2 linked regions of the Caenorhabditis elegans genome follow. The protein of the gene in region 2 purifies or fractionates together with the protein of the main gene of each other region. This does not show direct contact. Each region holds a gene or a part of one and is shown on either strand. Other genes may lie near its edges.

Region 1 (6,903 bases), on a different chromosome or scaffold from region 2:
AAATCTGCCTGTGGGAAGACGTATTATTGAAAAAGCAAAAGAGGTTGCCAGGAAAACGCGATGAGCTTCTTTTGAGAAATACACAACTTCGATGTTAATTTAGAAAATGCAGGAACTTTTAATAGAAAAATAACAACTTTTAAAATGTTACAGCAGGTTTACATTTTTAATGTTCAGGGCAAATTTCAATTCTTAGAGCTGGAAAAATTATTAAAATGGTACAAAATTTTGATAAAGAAATGGTTCAGTTGTTGTGTACATTAAAAATTGTCACAATGAATCACAATGAAGCTGTGAAAATATTTATTTACTTCAAATTTTTTATAGAAATCAAATTTAAATGATATCAACATTATGAAGATTAACATAACCAGTCATTGGGAATGTTTCCATATTATTTGGATGATTTGCAAACGGAGTATCAGAAACATTTCCAAATAGGTTCTTAATTGTTTTCCAAGCTTCCGATTTGCTAACCTCTACCAATTTATTCTCAACTAAATTCTAGAATATCAACTGTCAAAATGTCATTCGAAAAATCCAAAAAGTGTCCTTTATAATGTGAGGAAAGAGACACAGATATCTGCTTCTTTTCACATTTTTCACCGCGAAAGACTTTCGAACATTCACAAATTGGTTTTGGATTTGAATAAATGCAAACTCCACCATTCTCACATGAGACTGTAAACTTGCTTTAACCAATACTTTATAAATTATTTTGGCGTCAGAAAAATTTAAAAAATTAAACAACAAAAGAATACCGCATTAAAGCGGCAATGGCTTGAAGATCATACACTTCAAAGATAGTTAAAAAGAAGGTGCAGAGAGAAAACGAAGATCGAAGAAATGGTGGTAATTAAATTATGAATTATTGAGTAATTAATCGAAAGCAGCAAGAGTGAAGGAGTCAACAAGCTCAGCTGGTTTTGTTTGCCATTTTCCGAGTCCCGCAGCCTCGAGCTGAAAATTAATATTATGAAGAAGAAGACGAAGAAAAGAAGAAAATAAAACACCAACCTTTTCATAGAACACTTTCTTCTCATACTGGTATTCAGACGCCATCTCTTTCGCCTTCGCATAATTCACAACGGCCTGGTCGACTCCGTTCAATTTACGATACGCCTCAAAGATTTCAGCTTTACAAACTCGCGATGGGGATCCCTTTGAAGTGCGTCCAGTATTGTAATCCAGAGTTTCAACAGAATCCACTCCACGGTGCCAGAGATGAGATATGCCCATATGCATTCTCATTTGCACAGGCATACTCTCCACAATGATCTCTCGTTCATTTTCGTTTGGTCCAAGGCGTCCTTGCAAAGCATAACTGAGTGATTCATCAGAGACTGGAGCTTCTGAGCCGAAGAAGATGTTATCAATGAAAATTGGATGAAGAACATTGGAGAGGAGAGCGCCTTGAATTCCCAAAGTGTTCCATTTGAATAGTTTATCCGCAGTGCAATGAACTCGAAGGGACTTCGTTTCCTTAATTTGTTCGTAGGTAAGCACATCGTCTGGTACACATGTCAGATTTGTTGGCCTGAAAATGGTGAAATAGTTTTTGCAGAAACTAAAATTCTATTAAACTCACGTTACATATGACAACTTCTTAGTTGCAGCATCATCGACTGCATGAATGCATGGTGGCGAGTAGTTGGAATAGAGAACAAGCCGGAGATTCGGCTTTAAGGCAGCTTTTCCCTCTTCCTTTTTCTCGAAAATTGAACATTCTGAATCAACGGTGCTAAGTTCATGGATAAATGCCTTCAACATTGCTCTGCGGGCAAGAATAATAGCATCCAAATGAAGTAGAGATGTTCCATTGGCTCCACTGAGAGTATCTGGTTCGACTATATATTGTATAGATGAACCCATTGCAAGAACACGCTTCTCTTCTTGAGCATTGACCAATAGGAAACTGAAAGTTGAATAAATTTCTTTTGAAAATAATGTTTGAAAACTTACGCAGCAAACAAATTGCTGGGAGGTATTTGATAGTATTCAGTCATCTGGTGGTATTCTCTCTTACAAAATTCTGCGATATGTCTGCATAATGGAGAAACCTTTGACTCGGTCATAGCACGACTTGTCAATGCAAGTGGATAGTTGCCGGCTGGATCATAGTCAATTTTGAAAAGCTTCTTCAGAGCTTGCATTGCCGCTTCACTTTTAGCCAGTTTTTTCGAACGACCAACGCCAATGTACCGATCGGTTTCATCGATTACGCATTCACAACTGAAAATTTTCAATTAAAACAGCCTCATAAAATATTTTCAAAAAAGGATTCTGAAATTGTACTTCACTTACTAGAATGTCGTTGTAGCCTGTCCAGCAACTGGAGGTACATTGTCCTTGAATTCATAGGCAATCTTGCACTTCTGTTTCGTCTGCTTGTTGAGCATCGCGTGGAGAAGAGCACACGGTCCCTGACTGCTGACAGCATCTGTTTTCACACAGGAAGATGGATCTATTGCAAAATAGTTTTTTAGTGTTTCTTGCGCGACCCAGTCTTTGGCCATTGCTTTGGAAGCGAGTGATGAGGACTTGACTTCAAATTTCAAATCATTCTCTGAAAAAATTGAAAAACTGTTCTAAATCTGAGATTCTAGTAAAAATACCATTGTGATCAATAATTGTGCATTTTGCCATGAAATATGCTCTTCCGATACCAAGTGGTCTGTCTTCTGCTGGCTCACATTCAATAGTAAGAGTGCAATTTAAAATTGAGCAAATGGTATTGAGACATTGAAGGATTGTCGTATCGTGTCCAAGACGATTACTTGCATGTCTACGGGCAACAGTGGTGATGTCGGCATGTGACACGTTGAACAAGTCACGAAGAGCTTCACGAATGACCATATCTTTCAAAACTCCACGACTTGGTCCCATCTTTGTATATTGTTTATTTTGCTCCACGAATTTCAAAGTGACATTATGCATGGTCTCATTTTTGCGCCAACCACTCTTCTTTTCATTGGCAACGTTTTCTCCATTTGTATCCACTTCTTCTTTTTTGACTTCGACTTCGGGAATCTCTGGATCTTTTGGAACCTCCGAAGCTTCGAAAACTGGTGAATACTTCTCGGCAGACTCAGCAATTATTTTTTGCATTAGATCTAGCAACGAAAGCGCAGATTCAACAGGTGTCAACTGGAGCTTGAGAATTTATAAGTACAGCTTTTGAAAATTTGAATTTTACCTTTGCTTTCTTAACAGCGGAGACCTTTTTCGGTGTCGGTTGATTTGAAATAGCATCAGCCTGAAGCAACTAATATAAAACTTATTAAAACCAATTGTAGTTCGAACGTACATTTCTCTTGTTGTTCTGCCCATTTCCAGAAGCGGCATCGATTTCCTTTTTCACTGGAGCCGCTGCTTTTGCTGCTACACCTTCTTCAAATGGTGTTACATGAACATCCGGACGAAGATCGCGAACAACAAGTTCCGAACATTTTTGTTTCGCTGCTTTCTTGTTGACTGATTCCATTTGAAAAGTGCGTCCGTTTACTTTCAATGTGCAGCAATACTTTTTCGGAACGCCCTCAACCTCAGTGTACCTGAAAAAGTTCAATAATTTGATTGCCTTTCTAATAAATTCAATAACTTACTCTTCAGAAACATCCTTGAACAGCTCATGAAGCAACATCGCTGGGCTTTTCCCAGTCGAATCAAACTTTTTGGGAGCAGCTGGACCCTTGGGCTTATTTTGCTGAAATAAAAACGTTATTGCAATATAAAATAAAAATAATTTCCCACCCTCCAATTTGGTTTGTTTTGGTTGAATGGACCGCCTTTTTGATTGTTAAAAAAACGATTTCCCTGTGGGCCACCCATTTGGTTTTGCGACATTGGTTGCACCCACTCCTGACTCAAAGCGTGCCCTCCGCCAAACGCACCGAAATTGTTGTTACGAATTGCAGATGGTTTTGGAGCACCGCCTTGTTGTCCGTATTTCTGTATCAGTTTCTCACATTAGAAATTCCAAATTGTGATAATTTTTAGAAAACGCTTCTGTTCTTTCAATTAAAAATAAACTATTAGTTTCAACTGGAGCTGTTCTTTAAATTAAAAATAAATATACCTTCTGTGGGAAGGTTTGTGCTCTCTGTTGTTGTTGCATGAATGTTGAAATTGGGTTCATGGCTGCATAAGTATTCTGAGCTTGTTGTTGAGCCTGTTGTTGCTGCTGCTGCTGTTGTTGGCTGACATATTGTGGGAACTGAAAAAAAATAATTGTATTTTCTTCCGAAATTGTTAGTTTTTATCATACCGTGTGGGTAGCCAGCGAGGCAGCGGACTCTGGTTGGCTCCATTGACTTGCCCAGTTGTAATTATTGGTCTGGAAAATTGAAAAATTAATTAAGCAAAATTTTCTAAGCTTTTGAGATAATTCAGCTTAGTGATTTTTTGTATTAGAAAGTTTTTGATATTGTTTTTTAGCTGAAGGATCTCAAACCTTAGGTTTTGCTAATTTGATACGATTTAAGATACAGAAATAAACAATTTTAAGCTAATTTTTGAAAATATCACCGAGAGGATCCAACCCTGGATGATATAAATTTTAATTTATAATAATCATCCAGAAATGCATCTATAACAAAACTTAATTATTGCAAAGTGAGAAAAAGTTCATTTGTATTAGGCAGATGAACTTATTGACACTGTAAACGTCAACAAATGTATTAATTGTCGATGCATACGACAACGCCAAACTATTTGGGGTTCTTCCAATATTTTTAATTGCTTTAAAGCTGGAGTGAATCCTACTTGAGTTTTAATTTGTATTGGATTTCACTCCAACTCTAATCGAGTACCCACAAAAGTTTAGAGTTAACGTACGGAATCGCTGGTGTGATCAGTGCCAGAGCCATAGGCCTGTCCATAACCGAAGTTGTAGTTAGGATTTTGATCCATTTCGTAGTCAAATAAATTACCTGCAGAAAAAATGATGACTAGCAATCGTATGAAGTTTTCGAGAAAAGATTCACACTATTGAAAGTCGTGACATTACCCGGCACAAAAAAACATTTCGAACCGGACAATGAAATTACACGAGAAATAAGAGGGAAGCAGTAAGATCACAGAGTATGCCGCATTGGGAATAATGACAAACTCCACGTTCTTAAGTAGACACAAAATACATTACAATATAGAGGAAATATGCCGAGAGTAGGAAATAAACATACTATTCAGTTGTTCTTTTAAGCAATAGAAGCAACTAAATAGCTAGTTGAAAGACTTCGTGTAGCATTGAGAACAAAAAACACATTCAGAAGAGAAAAGCAAATAATTTTAGGCCCTCTAATTCTAAAAATCCTAGACTAAAAAGGAATGAAAATTATAAAACGTCAAGAACAAAATGGCTTATGACTGAGATATAATGCTCCTCTCAATATGCTATAATTATTGATTAACTGAATTTCCCATAAACTGACATTGCTTTCAATGTTTTGAAACAAAAAGGGCTGTTGCATTGTGAGAATAACACTATTTTTCTATTGAAATTGACAGAAACTAAGCGAATTGTACATTTCAGTGATACATTTACAATTGCGGAACGAAATAATAAGCGAGAACGCAGCAAAAAATGAGCCGAATCGTTGAGCGCGGAACGCGTCGCATTCGAAAAGTCGATAGTTCCATGGAGCGCATTTGCTCTACTGACACGTCACGGAATCTGTGAATAAAGTTTGAAAGAAATGCGTTCAATGCCGAAAACGAAAACTTCGCTCACATTTTAAGTGAGAAAGAATAGCAGCTAAATTGTTATAAATATTCTAAAACATAGTGTTAAAGGATTTTAACTACTTTTCATAATTCTGTTTCGCCCGACTCACACAATTCAAAAATTGAAGTGGTCTCATAATACACGTTTCCCGGATTTTCATGAGTTTTTAAGATTTTATTTGCAATTTAATATTTCTAATCTGCTGTTTTTATCACAAATGCGAAAAATATAAAGTTTCTGATGCTTAAATATTGATTTCGTCAAAATATTTTTTGTAAAACCACATCAGCTGCTAAATAATAAATTCTTTTTATTTTTTTTTTAAAGTTCATATTATTTGTCCAGTTACAATTTATTAGTTGCGAAATTCATATGCAACGTGTCCTTGGACGAGTTTTCAGTCAGACATTTTCTCATGAGTCCAGTCCCGTGTTTAAGCACATGTTGCTGTTTTAGGAAAATCGTGGTAAATAATTGTGTTTCAATGCTCATTATTCGTTTGATCGTTTCTCTTTTAATTCTTTATTTATTGAAGATCAGGACTGTATTTATTCTCTTTCAAAATTGTTAATTTTCAGGAATATTCTACAATGTCGTGGTTTCGGAAATCAGCAAACGACTCACTACTGGAGACAAATCACGGTTTCGTTTTGTTTTATTGGGAACTGTGCTTTCAAACTTTTAACTAACGTTTACTAATAAGTAATATGGATGAACTTGAACTGGAATTTTCTTAAAATCAGGGTTTTATTTGAACATTTAACATTTTTAAATTCGTTAAAATTTTATTCATGACGGTTTGACATGACTTAATTTTTTTCCAGTTCTAGCCACTCCATATTATTTTAATGTTTACTTGCATGAATATTTGAGAAATACCAAAAGTTGCTCATCATTTCTTAGTTTGCTTCTTTCTCCATCATCAAAAAGTCCACCCTTTTCACTTCCTCCCCTCCCATTTTCCGGCTCTTTTTTCACGTATCTCCCCCATCCGTCTGTCCTCTTCTCCAACTCTTCGTGTCTTTTCATGCCCAAAGTCCTACATCGATTTGCGCAGGAAAAAGCCTCCGAGTGCCGAAACAACGTCTTCTTCTTCTTCGTATTTTTCTTGTTTTCAACGCACTGCTCCTCTCGTTCTGCAGTTTTTGTTAGCATCTTCCCCATCTCTTCGTATTTTT
Region 2 (4,343 bases):
GCGACTACACGATCCAGTACACAATGCAACTGGAACTCCGGTATGAAGAAGGTGACGAACCAGTTTCTCAGCTCCAGGCATCGCAGGACTCCTTTTGAACATTTCGATGAGAAGTTCATCGTATTGACGTGAATACTCTTCCGGTGTCACAAGATCGCCGATTTTCAGTTCGTTGATTAGCCATCGGATCGATTCATCATGGCGTTTTCCCATTTGCCCTGAAATTTATATTAAAATAAAAATATTTCTGATATTTCTTCTCACTTCTCTTCAAATCCATTGTGAAAACGTGTCCATATTTTCTCAAAAGCTCCATATTCGCTTCCGTGTATGCAGATTCTGTGTCGACGAGAAGACCGTCAAAATCGAAAATCACATGGGTCACTGATGCAGGCATCTGGAAATTTCTATAAAAACATATTTATTCCAGTTTTCGTTTCCTTAAATAATATTCAACTCCGAGATAAGTAACTCGAATCACTGAAAATTGTAAGTCCAAAAAATAAAAGATTAACAATTAATTAATGCAGAAATTAAGAGTTAACAGCTAAAATGGAATGAATACACGATGCTGCATGAGATTTTTAAAAGTGGAACCACATTGAACTTTTGATACAATAAAGGTAAAATTGCATTGATTAATTTATAGTAAACATTTGAAATTCTCGTGGCTTTCGTTGCCAAATTCCGAGATCCTTCTGTCGCAGCCAGGTAATGAACGACTTTTTTGCAGCAGCGTATTCTTGAGATCCAGCTTTGAGTTCTTCGTATGAGATTGGATAATCCACAGAAGTCTTTGTCAACGTGCAGATCTGAAATAGAAGGAATTGTTGAGTTTCACACTCAAAACATCAAGAAAATTATTTTTATTTTCCCCCAGCTTACAGTAATCATCAGTTCTGCCATATTTTTTTTACACAATCTGGATGGAGTCGTGATGTCAGCCCCGCTCATATCCTTATCATGAACCATTCCATCCGATGTTCGTACAACTTCTGTATTTCCATCAGCCAAGTTCCAATTCATCGAACTAATCGTGGATCGTGCTGCTGCAGAAGTTGATTGCTCAGTATCTTCCACTTGACACTCTCCGATTTCCACGTCTTGAACATGGAATGGAGCTGGAGGTTTGAAGGTGGCTGCTCTGCTGTAAACTGCTTTACGGAGACGATCTGCATTGTTCAACTCGGCAACGGCGATTGACGAGTAATAGATCTGAAAATCAAGATCTCATGTTATACTAATCAGGTTAAACTAACTGGATCGATGAAATGTGATAATATTGCTCCTTGGACACCCAGTACATTTGCTCGAAGCAATTTATCAGAGCAAGACATTGTCCTCATTCGTTCTCCCATCATGATTCCATCAAATGTTTGTGGAGCTTCAAACTCAGAAGCACCACCGAGCACTGTGCCCATACCTTTATCAATTTTGAATCGAAGACGAGAAGAATTTTGAAGGTCATCTGATGTTCCGGGTTTTAGCTTTTTCTGAAAATAATTCAAATGAAGAATTTACAAAAATTAATACTTGAAAAGTTACATCTATTCTCGCAACTCCACATGGTGCGGTGTTTATGAATAAATGGAAAGAAATTCCTGGCTTCAGCACCAATGCGTTCTTTCCTTTTGTAAAAATTGAATTGGGTGGCTCTGTAGAGAACTTTAGAACTTCGGAATACAAAAATCTCAGAAGGCCTCTTCTTGCGAGAATTTCAGCATGACAATCTATGAGAGCTGTTCCATCGTTTACAATTTTGTCTCCGCGTAATCCCTTGTTTCCAGTGGAGAGAGCAATGATTTGGAGGTTTCCATTGATTTTCAGGAAAACAGAAGCGATCACTTTTTCGAATCCATAGATTAAGGCGTTGTTCTTACAAAGTCTAAAATGATAATAAAAGGGATACATTCACTATGAATTATTTTTTCCACTGACTCATAAAATTTCGCGTATGTATGTTCTCTGAGCATCTCGAAAAATGTGGTTTTCTCCTCAAATTTGACAGCAGGCACAACGTATTCGCTAACATGCTTGAGCACGACTTCCAGTCCTTTCAATGAGCACGACACCTTTGCCTCTTTCTTTTTGGATTTTACATTTCCCTCGATTCGTTCTCCATTTAAAATTACAACACATATAAATTTCATGGATCCGTTCGGTTGGTTTCTGTTATAGAAATCAAAAACTGGAGTGTTGCCTGTCATATGAACATAAAGCTCTGAGAATAATGACATTGGATTCTTTCCGCTTCTTTCCACAGTTTCCTTCACAAAGTCGGGAATATTGTCATCCAAATCCATTTTCTCTGACTTTAACTCAACTTCCATACCTTCTTCGACGGACATCTGAATTACGAATAATTTTTGGAACAAAAAGTCCACATGAGGAAATGTGTAACAGTTTTACCTTGAGATATCGAAAAAACAATAGAGCAACATCGACTAGTGAACGATATTTAAGAAAAACATAGAGAAAACATAAAAGTATATAACATATTTTGTTTTTCATCTACAATTCGGAAGTTATCAGAAAAGGGGAACAAATACTAAAACCTCAAAATTAAAAATAAATCATCTGACAACAGAAAACGGAAAAGCGAAAAAGCTACGAAAAAATCAGGTATTTTAAAATGTTCTCTTCTCATTTCCCACAATTCGTATTATCTTAACGATAAAGATATTCGGCTTGAAGATTGGAAGCGAGCTCAGGCTCCCAGCGATCACCATTCAACAAGAGCTTCTCCTTATTATAGAGGAGTTCTTCGTGAGTTTCAGTCGAATATTCGAAGTTCGGGCCCTCGACAATTGCATCGACTGGGCAAGCTTCCTGGCATAATCCACAATAGATGCACTTGGTCATATCGATATCGTATCTAGTGGTACGGCGACTTCCGTCAGGTCTTGTTTCGGCCTCGATCGTGATAGCTTGAGCTGGGCAAATGGCTTCGCAAAGCTTGCAAGCAATGCATCTTTCTTCACCAGACGGGTATCGACGAAGAGCGTGTTCTCCTCTAAAATACTGATTTTTTTGTTAATAATTTTTGTTTTTTTTTAAATTAACTAAATAATTAATATTTTTAATTAAAGAATTTTCGAATATGTGTCGTGTGAAGGTGCAAGTTTGTTCAGTTTTTTGAAAACTATTAAAATACAACCAAAATATGCTTATTTTCTTCCAAGCTGATTATAACAAATGCTTTATGATTTAATTTCAATTTTTAATTTCTGTACCTGAATCTTGAACTGAGTGGTCCCTTTTCGAAGGGATAGTTGATAGTAGCTGGCTCCATGAATACGTGACCAAGCATCACTCCGAAACCTGAAAAATTGACATTTTTCCTTCACACAGTATACTTCAAAATAATTTTGATTCAAATTTAGTTTAAAATTACCTCTGAAAAGTTCGGTGAAGAAAACATTGTGAAGCCCGTAATTCAAATCTCCAGCCAGTGTTCCATCGGTTTCATTGGGCATACCAACGAATTTGTAGTTGGATCTCTTTTGAATTGTGTTGGAAGGAACACTGCTGACGGCAAGCTAAATAATTGATTATTTGAAACGTATATTTGAATGAGAAAATCTCACTTGAGCCGGAATTCTTCCAAACATGCCTTTTGTGAGCACTGCCACACTTTTCATCGCCATTTTGACAGCGTGGTTAAGTTACTGAAAAACGTATTATTGATAGACTACATTTAATTTAATTGGAATGAAGTGTTTATAATAGAAAAACATTGATAAATATAAAATTGAACACGAAAAAATATTAAAAAAGCGAGAAAGACGCAAACATGTCCTGCAGGTGCACGAGAAACGCGCCAACGATGAACCAAGGGCGCAACTTCTGCGTTCCAACAAAGTTTAATTCCCAAATATCTATTTAAATACTTTTAGCCTTTCAATTTATATATTTTATATTGTTATTATGTTTAAATATTTGTCAAATAACATAATTTTATCGTTTAGTGTTTCTAAGCACGCTTATTGTCACAATAATTTTACTTTAATGCTTTGTTTCTTGAGAAATTAGGAAAACTGTTCTCAAGTTTGCTTCCGAATATTTGTTTCTCAATTTACTTCTCATAAATATATATTCTCGGGTCGCTGCGCTCCCCCGAGAAAAGGTTTTCCCTTGTTCCTAGCTCCGTTCGAGAGAAATGAGGTACGAGAAAAGGAGGAAATTGAGTTACAGAATTTATGGGCTTTGCGTGTGGTACAGGTCGTGACAAAAGTAGAAAATTAGGGGCAGTTGGGCGCCAGGCGCCCAACTTGAACGATATGAGGGCCACGAACGGTATAAATTGGGGAAATTTAATGTGCTGACGCCGTCGTGAAGAGCCC

The links.
Region 1: the proteins of adr-2 (region 2) and adr-1 purify together in Caenorhabditis elegans (affinity purification with western blotting; 2 studies listed by BioGRID). This does not show direct contact.

Annotation. Positions count from the first base shown.
Region 1 is NC_003279.8:7,771,446-7,778,348, reverse strand, and holds adr-1 (A-to-I RNA editing regulator adr-1), read right to left. Parts: upstream 4,932-6,903; 5' UTR 4,912-4,931; coding exon 4,837-4,911; intron 4,337-4,836; coding exon 4,268-4,336; intron 4,217-4,267; coding exon 4,079-4,216; coding exon of another isoform or gene 4,058-4,078; intron 3,952-4,057; coding exon 3,754-3,951; intron 3,707-3,753; coding exon 3,606-3,706; intron 3,555-3,605; coding exon 3,308-3,554; intron 3,266-3,307; coding exon 3,197-3,265; intron 3,154-3,196; coding exon 2,616-3,153; intron 2,567-2,615; coding exon 2,305-2,566; intron 2,233-2,304; coding exon 1,963-2,232; intron 1,916-1,962; coding exon 1,589-1,915; intron 1,538-1,588; coding exon 1,018-1,537; coding exon of another isoform or gene 961-1,017; coding exon 880-960; 3' UTR 694-879; downstream 1-693. Other genes in the region: nsf-1 (Vesicle-fusing ATPase), read left to right, coding at 6,141-6,191, 6,304-6,367.
Region 2 is NC_003281.10:7,230,535-7,234,877, forward strand, and holds adr-2 (Double-stranded RNA-specific adenosine deaminase adr-2), read right to left. Parts: upstream 2,349-4,343; coding exon 1,939-2,348; intron 1,886-1,938; coding exon 1,546-1,885; intron 1,494-1,545; coding exon 1,260-1,493; intron 1,216-1,259; coding exon 886-1,215; intron 813-885; coding exon 639-812; 3' UTR 505-638; downstream 1-504. Other genes in the region: R151.10 (uncharacterized protein), read right to left, coding at 1-218, 265-397; ndus-8 (putative NADH dehydrogenase [ubiquinone] iron-sulfur protein 8, mitochondrial), read right to left, coding at 2,668-3,013, 3,234-3,321, 3,395-3,539, 3,588-3,647. UniProt on the Caenorhabditis elegans protein: Catalyzes the hydrolytic deamination of adenosine to inosine in double-stranded RNA (dsRNA) referred to as A-to-I RNA editing. Acts primarily on non-coding regions of protein-coding genes including introns and untranslated regions (UTR).